Drosophila melanogaster: one gene and its partner. The protein of the gene in region 1 interacts with the protein of each later gene in a pairwise test. Each region holds a gene or a part of one and is shown in the gene's direction. Other genes may lie near its edges. The genes, in order: CG7029 and CG12116.

The links.
Region 2: the proteins of CG7029 (region 1) and CG12116 interact in a two-hybrid assay, tested with the Drosophila melanogaster proteins (one large-scale study listed by BioGRID).

The regions. Positions count from the first base shown.
Region 1 is NT_033777.3:22,779,607-22,784,756, forward strand, and holds the start of CG7029 (uncharacterized protein), read left to right. Parts: upstream 1-2,121; 5' UTR 2,122-2,552; intron 2,553-4,860; 5' UTR 4,861-5,150.
Region 2 is NC_004354.4:8,466,688-8,470,687, reverse strand, and holds CG12116 (uncharacterized protein), read left to right. Parts: upstream 1-1,675; 5' UTR 1,676-1,933; coding exon 1,934-2,755; 3' UTR 2,756-3,245; downstream 3,246-4,000.

The DNA.
Region 1 (5,150 bases):
ATGCACAAAAGATATAAAAAGATGTAGATACTATACTAGTTTGCTATATTCGAGGGTGGATTGTTCCATGCTAATTTGGCGAGGGCCACAATTGGATCAGCAGTTGGGGGGGGGCAAATGGATTTGTCATACTTGACTGTGGAAATCAACGGATGAGTCATCATAGTCCATGCAATTGTGGAAAAACAACTAAATTCAATTAGAGCTAAAACCGAACAATCGATATGAGAGCGAAATTCTAAAATCCACCTAAAAGTATGCCATTTAAACTTTCATTCGCCATCTGTAGATCTATTTTATAATTTTTTGCTATGTCTGGTATTCTAATTTATGGATTATGATCACGACCTGTTTTTTTCCCTTTCAAGACCCAAAAACATATGGCATCCGCTGATCTTTCGAAGCCGACAATAATTAATTAACAAATAAAAGTAGCAGAAAATCCCAAAAAAAAAGAAAAAGAAAAGCGACAAGTTTTGCGTTTGTATATATACTTTTTCGTATCTTCATGTAAACAAGCCAATTGCTGTTCATTGAAAGTGATATCTATGTACGTACATATACATATGTATCTTTTTTAGCATTCCCCGTCTGTTTGAGGTTGATTTAATCAGCAGCAGTACACCAAAACAGCTGATAATAGATAGGGGGTATATGAATATAATATATGCATTTACAGGGTGCTTGTGCTGTGAATACCGATGATGATTACTTAATGTATTCAACTCATTCATGCCCTGCCTTTGTCTACCATTCGAATCTAATGGGGGGAAATGTACATATGCGCATTTATAATGCTTTTATTGGGAAATTGGAAAATGTAGTGCGCTCCACTGACTGATGATCGCCTGTTTGTAATTGTTAATGAGCACTTGTGCATTGCTCCCGCACTTTGAACCCCCCTCGAACTGTGATTCTATGCTATAATTTTATGTGCGGTGTTCAGTTTCAAAGAGGGGCACATGTTCTGTGTTTGCTTTGCTTGCAGCACGTGCACATGCGCCGTGCCGGGAAACTTGGATCTTCATCCTGCCGGAAGAGGCGTCTTCAGGCTCTTCGAGCTCTATTTACCACCATCGTTGTGGAGGAGGGATGTTTGTTTGGCCGGACCAAGTGGGCACTTGGTTTGGTTTCCCACTTGAACGGCTTCATTAGTCGCAGAGATAAATCAAAATCTGCAGTTGATTTACTTACCAGATGGTCGGCGCTTATCGCAGTGATTTATTTGGCTGAAGAGGAAATATTACAAATAGTTTTTAGTAATTTCGAAATTGTTTTATATCTAAGAGGATCTTAATTGTGACAAGCTAAAATGATCGATGGTTTGGTATAAAAGTGAACAATGAAATACTAAATTATTATTTGAAGTCATTTCAAACTGATAAAAGCAAATAAGTTTAATAACAATCGCTCTCATTAATCAATAACAATGACTTGAACTAACTACTTGTTTGTATAATTAGTTAAGATTCAACTAGAGATTTCCATTATTCATAATGTGCCATTTGAACGGGCATTGCATTCAGTGCTTTAATGGGAGATTGCTATCAGACCTGAAGATCAAATCAATTATTAATCTTTAATCCTGTGGATTACGATTATTTTTATTGTGGAATATTCTATTCTATTTCTAATAGTAGTAGCAACATACTTAATTTTTCTAAAATGAGAATTTATCTTTACCTCTATTATATACCATTTGTAAAACCATGGATAATAAACTTCTATATCCAAAGGGTTGCACTTGCTGCGCCACAGATGGTGCTATTAGCCGTATCCATGAAGTTGTCGCTCTCGTTTTCACTTTTCGCTGGAGTCCGTGCTACATGTTTCCTTATTTTGGGGTTAACTCGGCGATGCACCACATTGTATAATGTTCCGTGCGTTGGGGTACTTCGTGCGTTTTCGGGTGCTTTTCATTCTTTTCACTCGGACTCGGATACACCCCGAAGATACTTACACTGGGAGGTGCCCTCTCACAGATACTCTCTCACACACACACGCACACACACACACATAGAGGCCTCGTCGCTTTGTAGCCGTCGCTTCGCCTCTTTTTTTCGGATTTCAGATTGTCGTTGCCGCTCGCGTATTTTCATTTTCAGTCAGTCTCCTTGGGCTGGTGCAACTGTGAAAATGTGCGGAGCGTGTCGTTTGTGAAAGCCTTGATTATTTTCCATACATATATATATCTATATGTATTTCTTATTTTTCGTTTCACATTTCGCTTAATTTGTTTACGCGCCTCGTCGTCGGTTCGTCGTTCCGTTCGTCTGGTTTGAATAATAAACTCGTAGATACTTTGTGTGACGCAGCAGCAGCAGCATCCCAATCAAAGTGGAATCACTTAAAGGGCTTTAATTGTGCGTGAGCCAATCCCCACAGAATTATCTGAAAGATACTCGTTAGATTGGCCATCTTAAGTGCATCGTCGGTAGACGAGAGTGTCTGTGTTTGTGTACTTTCTTTAATGTCTGATACGAACAAAGGAACCAAAGTTCTCTTTGACAACGAACTTTTTGGGATTATCTAATACGCAATCCGTTTTTGGGGTAATGTAATGCCAGCATTTAACAATTATTTATGAGTTTTCTGCACTCGAAAATGAGATCATCTGTAGTCGGCGTCTGTATCTAATCGGTTATCAGGTTGTCAGTTGCATTGCTACCAGTTTCAAGGCTTATCTTATCAACTAAAATTTGTTGGGCATGCCAAAAGTGTTTGTTTAAGCCAAATAAAAGCGTTCAGCAACCGGTTGATAAGCTCGATTTGCCTGTCAAAGTAGCAACTGTGTATCTGCATCTGCAAATAGCTTTGACCTTTTTGCCAAAACCAAAAGACTTCCGCGTCGATATGCACACATGCGTTTGATGATTTCGTAATTACAATCGGCACACAAAATAGAAACAACATCGACAATGCGGCTATATCTGTAACTGCATCGCCATCGTGGAAAATGCAGATGCATTTTCTTGGGCTGCCTCATTTAATTGGCGGGCATGGCGTACTCCGCCAAAAGAGTTTTCCCGCTGCCATTTTCTAGGCGCAATGTAGGCCAACAAGTACGTTGAACTAAACTAAAATGCTTGCCATCTCGAGAACAATGAGGAAAATATATATACTTGTGTTTACAAAAAAAGGGCTTGCCTATGCGACACCATAAGGGTTTGAAACTATATCTATAGGAACCAAAAAGAAAGTAGCTGAACAAATAATATATTATATAAATATTTTATAAACCAATCTTGCTATTAAACTTTTATTGATTGCAATTGCCGACATTAGAGGCCAATGTAATGTGTCATTTGCCACGCATTTCCCTTAACTTGTCCGCAATGCCAACACCTAAACAAACATTTTTGTTGGAGTTCAAAATGTGATTGAACCTGGTGGGGGGCTACACCTTGCAGCTCCAACTGGGTGAAAAAACTGTACTTTCGCATCGGCTACATGCGCTGTTTATTTTTGCCCCGGCCGCGGAAAATTGCAAGGTGCAAAGAGAAATCCAAATGAGTTGCGTGCACGAAATCGAAATGCATCTGCAATTTCCACACAATATTTTCGCAGTGCGTCGGCTTCTTACTTGCGTTCGTACCAAAAACATTATGTTTATGATTTCAAGAACTTCATGGCTCTTGGCAAATACAAGGCAGCTGGAGCGTGGCCATGGACAACTTGCCACCATGTTTATCGGAGCTGCTTAAATGCCGCTTCGATGCGAGAGCACTTTTCTTTTCCACCATGTACATATACTTGTGCGTACCACCGCCTTGTGGCAGAGTGTATGTTGGTTTGGTTCCTATGTATTTTGGCCGCTTGCCAGATGCGGCAAAGCCGTTTGGCATTTTCCGAGCCAGGTCCTTGGTGCGCCTGAGCACTCCTCAGACTTTCCCTTTCTCGATATTTGAAAAACGCAGTCCTGAGGGATTCCTTTTCGTGCGCGACGCTTTCCCCGGTGGTTGGTGGCCATTTTGCGATCCTTTGTCTGTCATCTTACACTAAGGAAAAAGAGGTTTTATATATCTCCTGCATTTATTACTACTGGCTTACCACTTTTGTAGCAATTTTGCTATTGCTATTTAGTTGCATTTCCCCTTTGTAAAATATATAAAGATATTGTATCTTTTGCTGATGTCAGGCATCAAGTATGCAGATATATCTCCTATAATCTCATTATGCCAAGCACCTGGTGGATCTAGATATTTTTCTTTGGCAAGCTCATGTGCGCTCTAGATAGATTTCAATAGCAAACATTATGACACATGCTCGCCAAAATGTCGGACGACAAGTTAATATTAATGAACTTGGCTAAGTTTCTTTTCGGCCAGTGATTTAAATTTAGACACCTGTGGCGAGCCTGGCCAAAGCTACACGGCTTCAAAAGCCCTCTGTTTAGCAAGGATGGCCATTTCCGTTTTTTGTGTCGGAAATTTGATGCCATAAATTAGGCACCTTTAGGGTTTTGGGGGCTTTGCTGCTAACGCTTTTGCTAACGAGCCACGAATGCAGTTAATTTGCGCGTCAGGAAAGGCCAAAGGAATTGCATTCCGAGTTTGGCCCAAAGCCGCAGGGGCATAAATCGATGGTGGGAACACAGCTTTTGTTTATGCCACATTGTTAGTTTGGTGGGTTAATTTTAGACGTTTTTCGTCGAAACTCCGCATTAAAGTTTAGATAGAAGAAATAACATAAAAGTCCCGAAAACCGAATGCAGAAAACTCGTAAATTATTTTTATATGCTTCTCACACCGAAAACATATCAACAGACACAAAACTTTTTGTGGGCTGAACAGTGTAGCGCATACACACAAACAATCTGTGTTATTTTTATATATAAAACTTGGTCCATGTGTCGTATAGAGAAGAGAAAACTTACGCATCAAGCATAACAACATGTATAAATAGCCATCAAAGACTACGAAGAAATCAAAATGAAAAGTGCAGCATAGAAAAGAAGAACCGAAAGGAAAAATCCAAACAAAATGTGCAACCAATCAATGGAGTTGAACCGCTTAAAAAAAAGAGCCAATAACTAAAAATACAGCAATACAGAAGCAGCGACACTGTCCCAAGAACATCTTGGCAACATCGCAGCGTTGGTCCGCAGCGGACTGGCCAAAAATAAATCGGCAGCAACATACGCCTGCAAC
Region 2 (4,000 bases), on another chromosome or scaffold:
CCCGCTGAACGACATTGAACGGAGGACAGGGTCAGGTTCAGGTATAGCCTGTGTTCCAAATATGCTTTCCATTAGGTCCACGCCTGCCCACTAAAGCTGCGATGCTACGTGCTTCGGCTTGAAAGCCCCGCGCACTTTTGATAATACCCCTAAATCAACATAAACAGACAGATGTGATGCTATTACCCACTGCCACTGTCCACTGGTGAATTCCAAGAACTTTGGACGATACCATGTGAGTGGCTAACAATGAAGTAGGGGTACACCAACCAAGATGTTCCAGCCATTCAAGACTGGTCATTATCCAACAAGCAAAACAGCAAAGTTATCAAGATTTTGGCATTCATAGGTGCATAGAGGTTTATTTTTGATCTTGGATTTGCAGTTATGTTGCAATATATGAATATATTAATATGTAATTATATATTATAAGAAAAGGGAAGTAGTGCGACTTAGATAATCTGTATACTCTATTTTGCATAGCTATTCCCTCCATCAAATGTGAGCTTATTTGGTTATACTACGATTAGAACTGCGTTCCGTTCCCGATTTCTAAATGGGTCAGCGTCATCTCGAAACGAGAATCCGGGAATCGGCAGCAGACTCCACCGGAATATAATAAGGCCATTAACCTAATTCGAGCTTGTTATTGGCGAAAATATAGTCAAAACAGCAAATTCTGGAAACACTGCCGTCTATCGATAGATCTTGAATATAGATTTTAAAGCACTTCCCTTCCGATCGATAATGTCTATAGAAATATGGAAAAATCACATTTCTAGGCAAAAAAAAAAAAACCCCTATATGACACATTAATATATATGTACCTTACGTTATCTTTAAACATGCGATTTAACGGATGTTTAGTAACGAGAGAGTTCATTAAATTCACACGTGTTACACTACCCATGTAATTCACAGGCATATATTATATGTATTATGTAATTGCAAAAACCATTTGCATTTTATTCGTCTACGAAAGTTCAACGACTGAATGCGATAACCTGTTATGTGATTCGGAAAATAAACATATATACTTAAAATAGGAAAGCAGTTTTAATGGGAAAAAACTATATGAATGGAAATTTATTTAATTTGTTTTGCAAAAAAAAGAAGGGACTTTGCTTAGACAAAACTATAAAATGTACTATTCTACTTTCCACATAATATTGTCCCCATCTGTGCTACACTATTAATTGTTGCCAACTGATTTGTTTACAAAATTCTTTGGTTAATCTCTTGCACTAAAAAGACAACCTTGACTTAGCGCCATATCAAAGGAACTCGATGAACTTCAAGATGACAATCGATCAGGTTTTTGGCTCATGGGAAACAGTGGCAAAGCCAAAAGGGGCTTGAAAAAATTAGCTTATTCTAATATGAAAGTATAAAATGAAATGAAAAGTATAATCTATGTTAAAGCATATAGAGCAATTTGTTTGTTAGGACATTATCTAAACTATGTCTATTTACCAGGACCAGGCCCCCGATGCGTAATATTGGCGCACCACTCCATCAGATTCCAGAGGTTAAATGATGCGCCATGGGTCCGGATTACGGTGCCAAAATCCCAAACATTACAAATGGTTAATGGCACGGCAACAAGACCAGACGCCTGAACCCCGGCTTATCAGTCGATTGGGTTGTATAAAAGCCCCAAGCTGACATCCCCACCAGTCCAGAGCGCTTCTCCATACGGAATCGGAACCTGAGTTGCTCAGTCGAGCATAAATATATATACAATACATATATATGCACATATAGTTGGCCAATCGAAATCGGAATAAAGCTTATCAGTCGAAAACAGAGTCCAGTTGGCAAAGCCCGGAGGAAATAAGGCATCAGTACAGTCGTACAGCTTCAAGTGAAAACAAGTGGAAGATTCTTCAGTTCCCGAAATCCTCAAGTACCCGAAATCCTTTAAATCAAAATAATGGCAGCAAAGAGAATGGATTTAAATAGACGCACCTTTTTGGTGTTGAGCGGCAGCTCAAATCCTTTGGGTCAATCCCTGGCGCTGGAGTTCTGCCGTCGCCTGGCCACTGGATCCCTTGCTTTGATCTTGGATGAGGATCAGGAGCAGCTTCGGGAGCTGGAGAATCATCTCCGGAGCGAACTGAAGACGGAGAACGTTAAGGTGACAATCGGAAAGTTGGACAAAGATCACTCGAATGGTGTGCAGCTAATGGAACAGGCATTGATGGATAATTTCATGGCGGATAAGGACAATCAACGCTTCGAGCGTTCCATAATCCTTCACAACGAGGGAAAGGCGGCCACGCATATGCTCCTGGAACCCCAGAGCGACGACGATTGGAAGGCCTATGTCCAGCAGCAGCTCTATGCTCCGGTGGCGCTCAATCAGACGTGGCTGCAATCGAAGCACTTGGAGCGAGTGGAGAAGCTGGCGGTGAATGTGACCTCATCGCTGATGGTACGTCCATTGGTCCATGCTGGTCTGCTTTGCTCGTGCAAACGGGCCAGGGATATGTACTTCCGCGCCATGGCCGCCGAGGAGTATCGTTTCGGTGTCCATGTGCTCAGCTTCTCGCCCGGTCTGATGGACACCCACGAGGGACAGTGCGATGTGAACGGCAATCGGATCACTCCCGCTGATCTGATAGCCACGAAGCAGTTGCTCCAGCTGCCGAGAATCAAGCCCTGCCAGGCCACACTCAAGCTGATCAACATTCTGGAGGAGATATCCTTTGTCTCCGGTCACGATGTCGACTATTACGACACCTTCGTTTTATGAGTAGCACCGTGGCGGTGGGCTGCGTCCCCGATGGACTCGGTTCTAATCTTGGTTGACGATTTAAATGCTGTACATGACTTGATCGCCTTGGAAATTAATAAAATCTGGCCAATGTCCCAGATTTCAGACCTGCAAGTGCACGAAAATCAAGCACACGAACAGGAAAACGAACGAAAAATTATATTTTTATTTTGGGTGGGTGGGTAGAATTTTAGATTTCTATAGGTTTGCCATTCACAATATTAACATATATTGTTGATTTGCTACTTTCAACTGAATTTGAAATTGAGTCTATTTTTAATTAGAATAGACAGGAATCACCGAAGCACACTCCTTATATTTTACCTATAATATATTTAAAACTGATGTTCAAAAAAAGAGTACTGCAGAATATACTTAGTAATTAGTTACTATTGGTAAATTTGTATGTGCAGGCGTGAGTTTATGAGTCAGCAATGCACAACAGATTAAACAAATATACAGAATATACATATATATATATATATATTTGTTAGCTCAAAACAGAAAATGAGACAGATTGAATAGTCTCAGTGATAAGAAAACCCACACGTGTTCAAATGTATAGAATTTTGTATGTGTGGTGTTGCCGGGTCGAAAATTTTCAAAATTCCCAATAGACTGATTCTTGATCCGGGTTTTCAAAATTATATGTGAAAATTTGGCTACTGAATTTGTAGTTAATAACTAATGAGGTTTTGACAAATCTTTAATCTATACAGTTATAAATGGCTTAGTTCGCCTCATTCTGATTAAATGTATTTATGGTTTTCAATTTTTTTTTTTTTCAGTTTACTTTCAATGAATCAACTGTTTTATATTCAAGGCATACTTTTGGGTATTCCTTATAGAAAAGTAATTTAAAAAGCCATAAGTTGCTCAAAATGTTGCTAAAGCTTTCCTAATCAAATTACAAATGAAATATTGTAAAAAGCAATCAGGAATTATAAATGGAGCTTCCCTACAATGTTGCAAAGATTCTGTAATCAGTTGGATTTTATAGTTTTTCCCTTGGATGCGGGGAATAAACATACAAATTAAATTTAATGACAAATTGAGAGCTTGAACTTTATAACAAAGTTGCAGAGCTTTCGAGAGAAGATTACTCGAGTTAACTCTTTAAGATGCTGACCTTGACATTGACTTTCTAACACATATTATATACATAATATATTAGCTGGGTTACTTTCATAAGGACCATAGGTTTTGATATATATGTATATATAT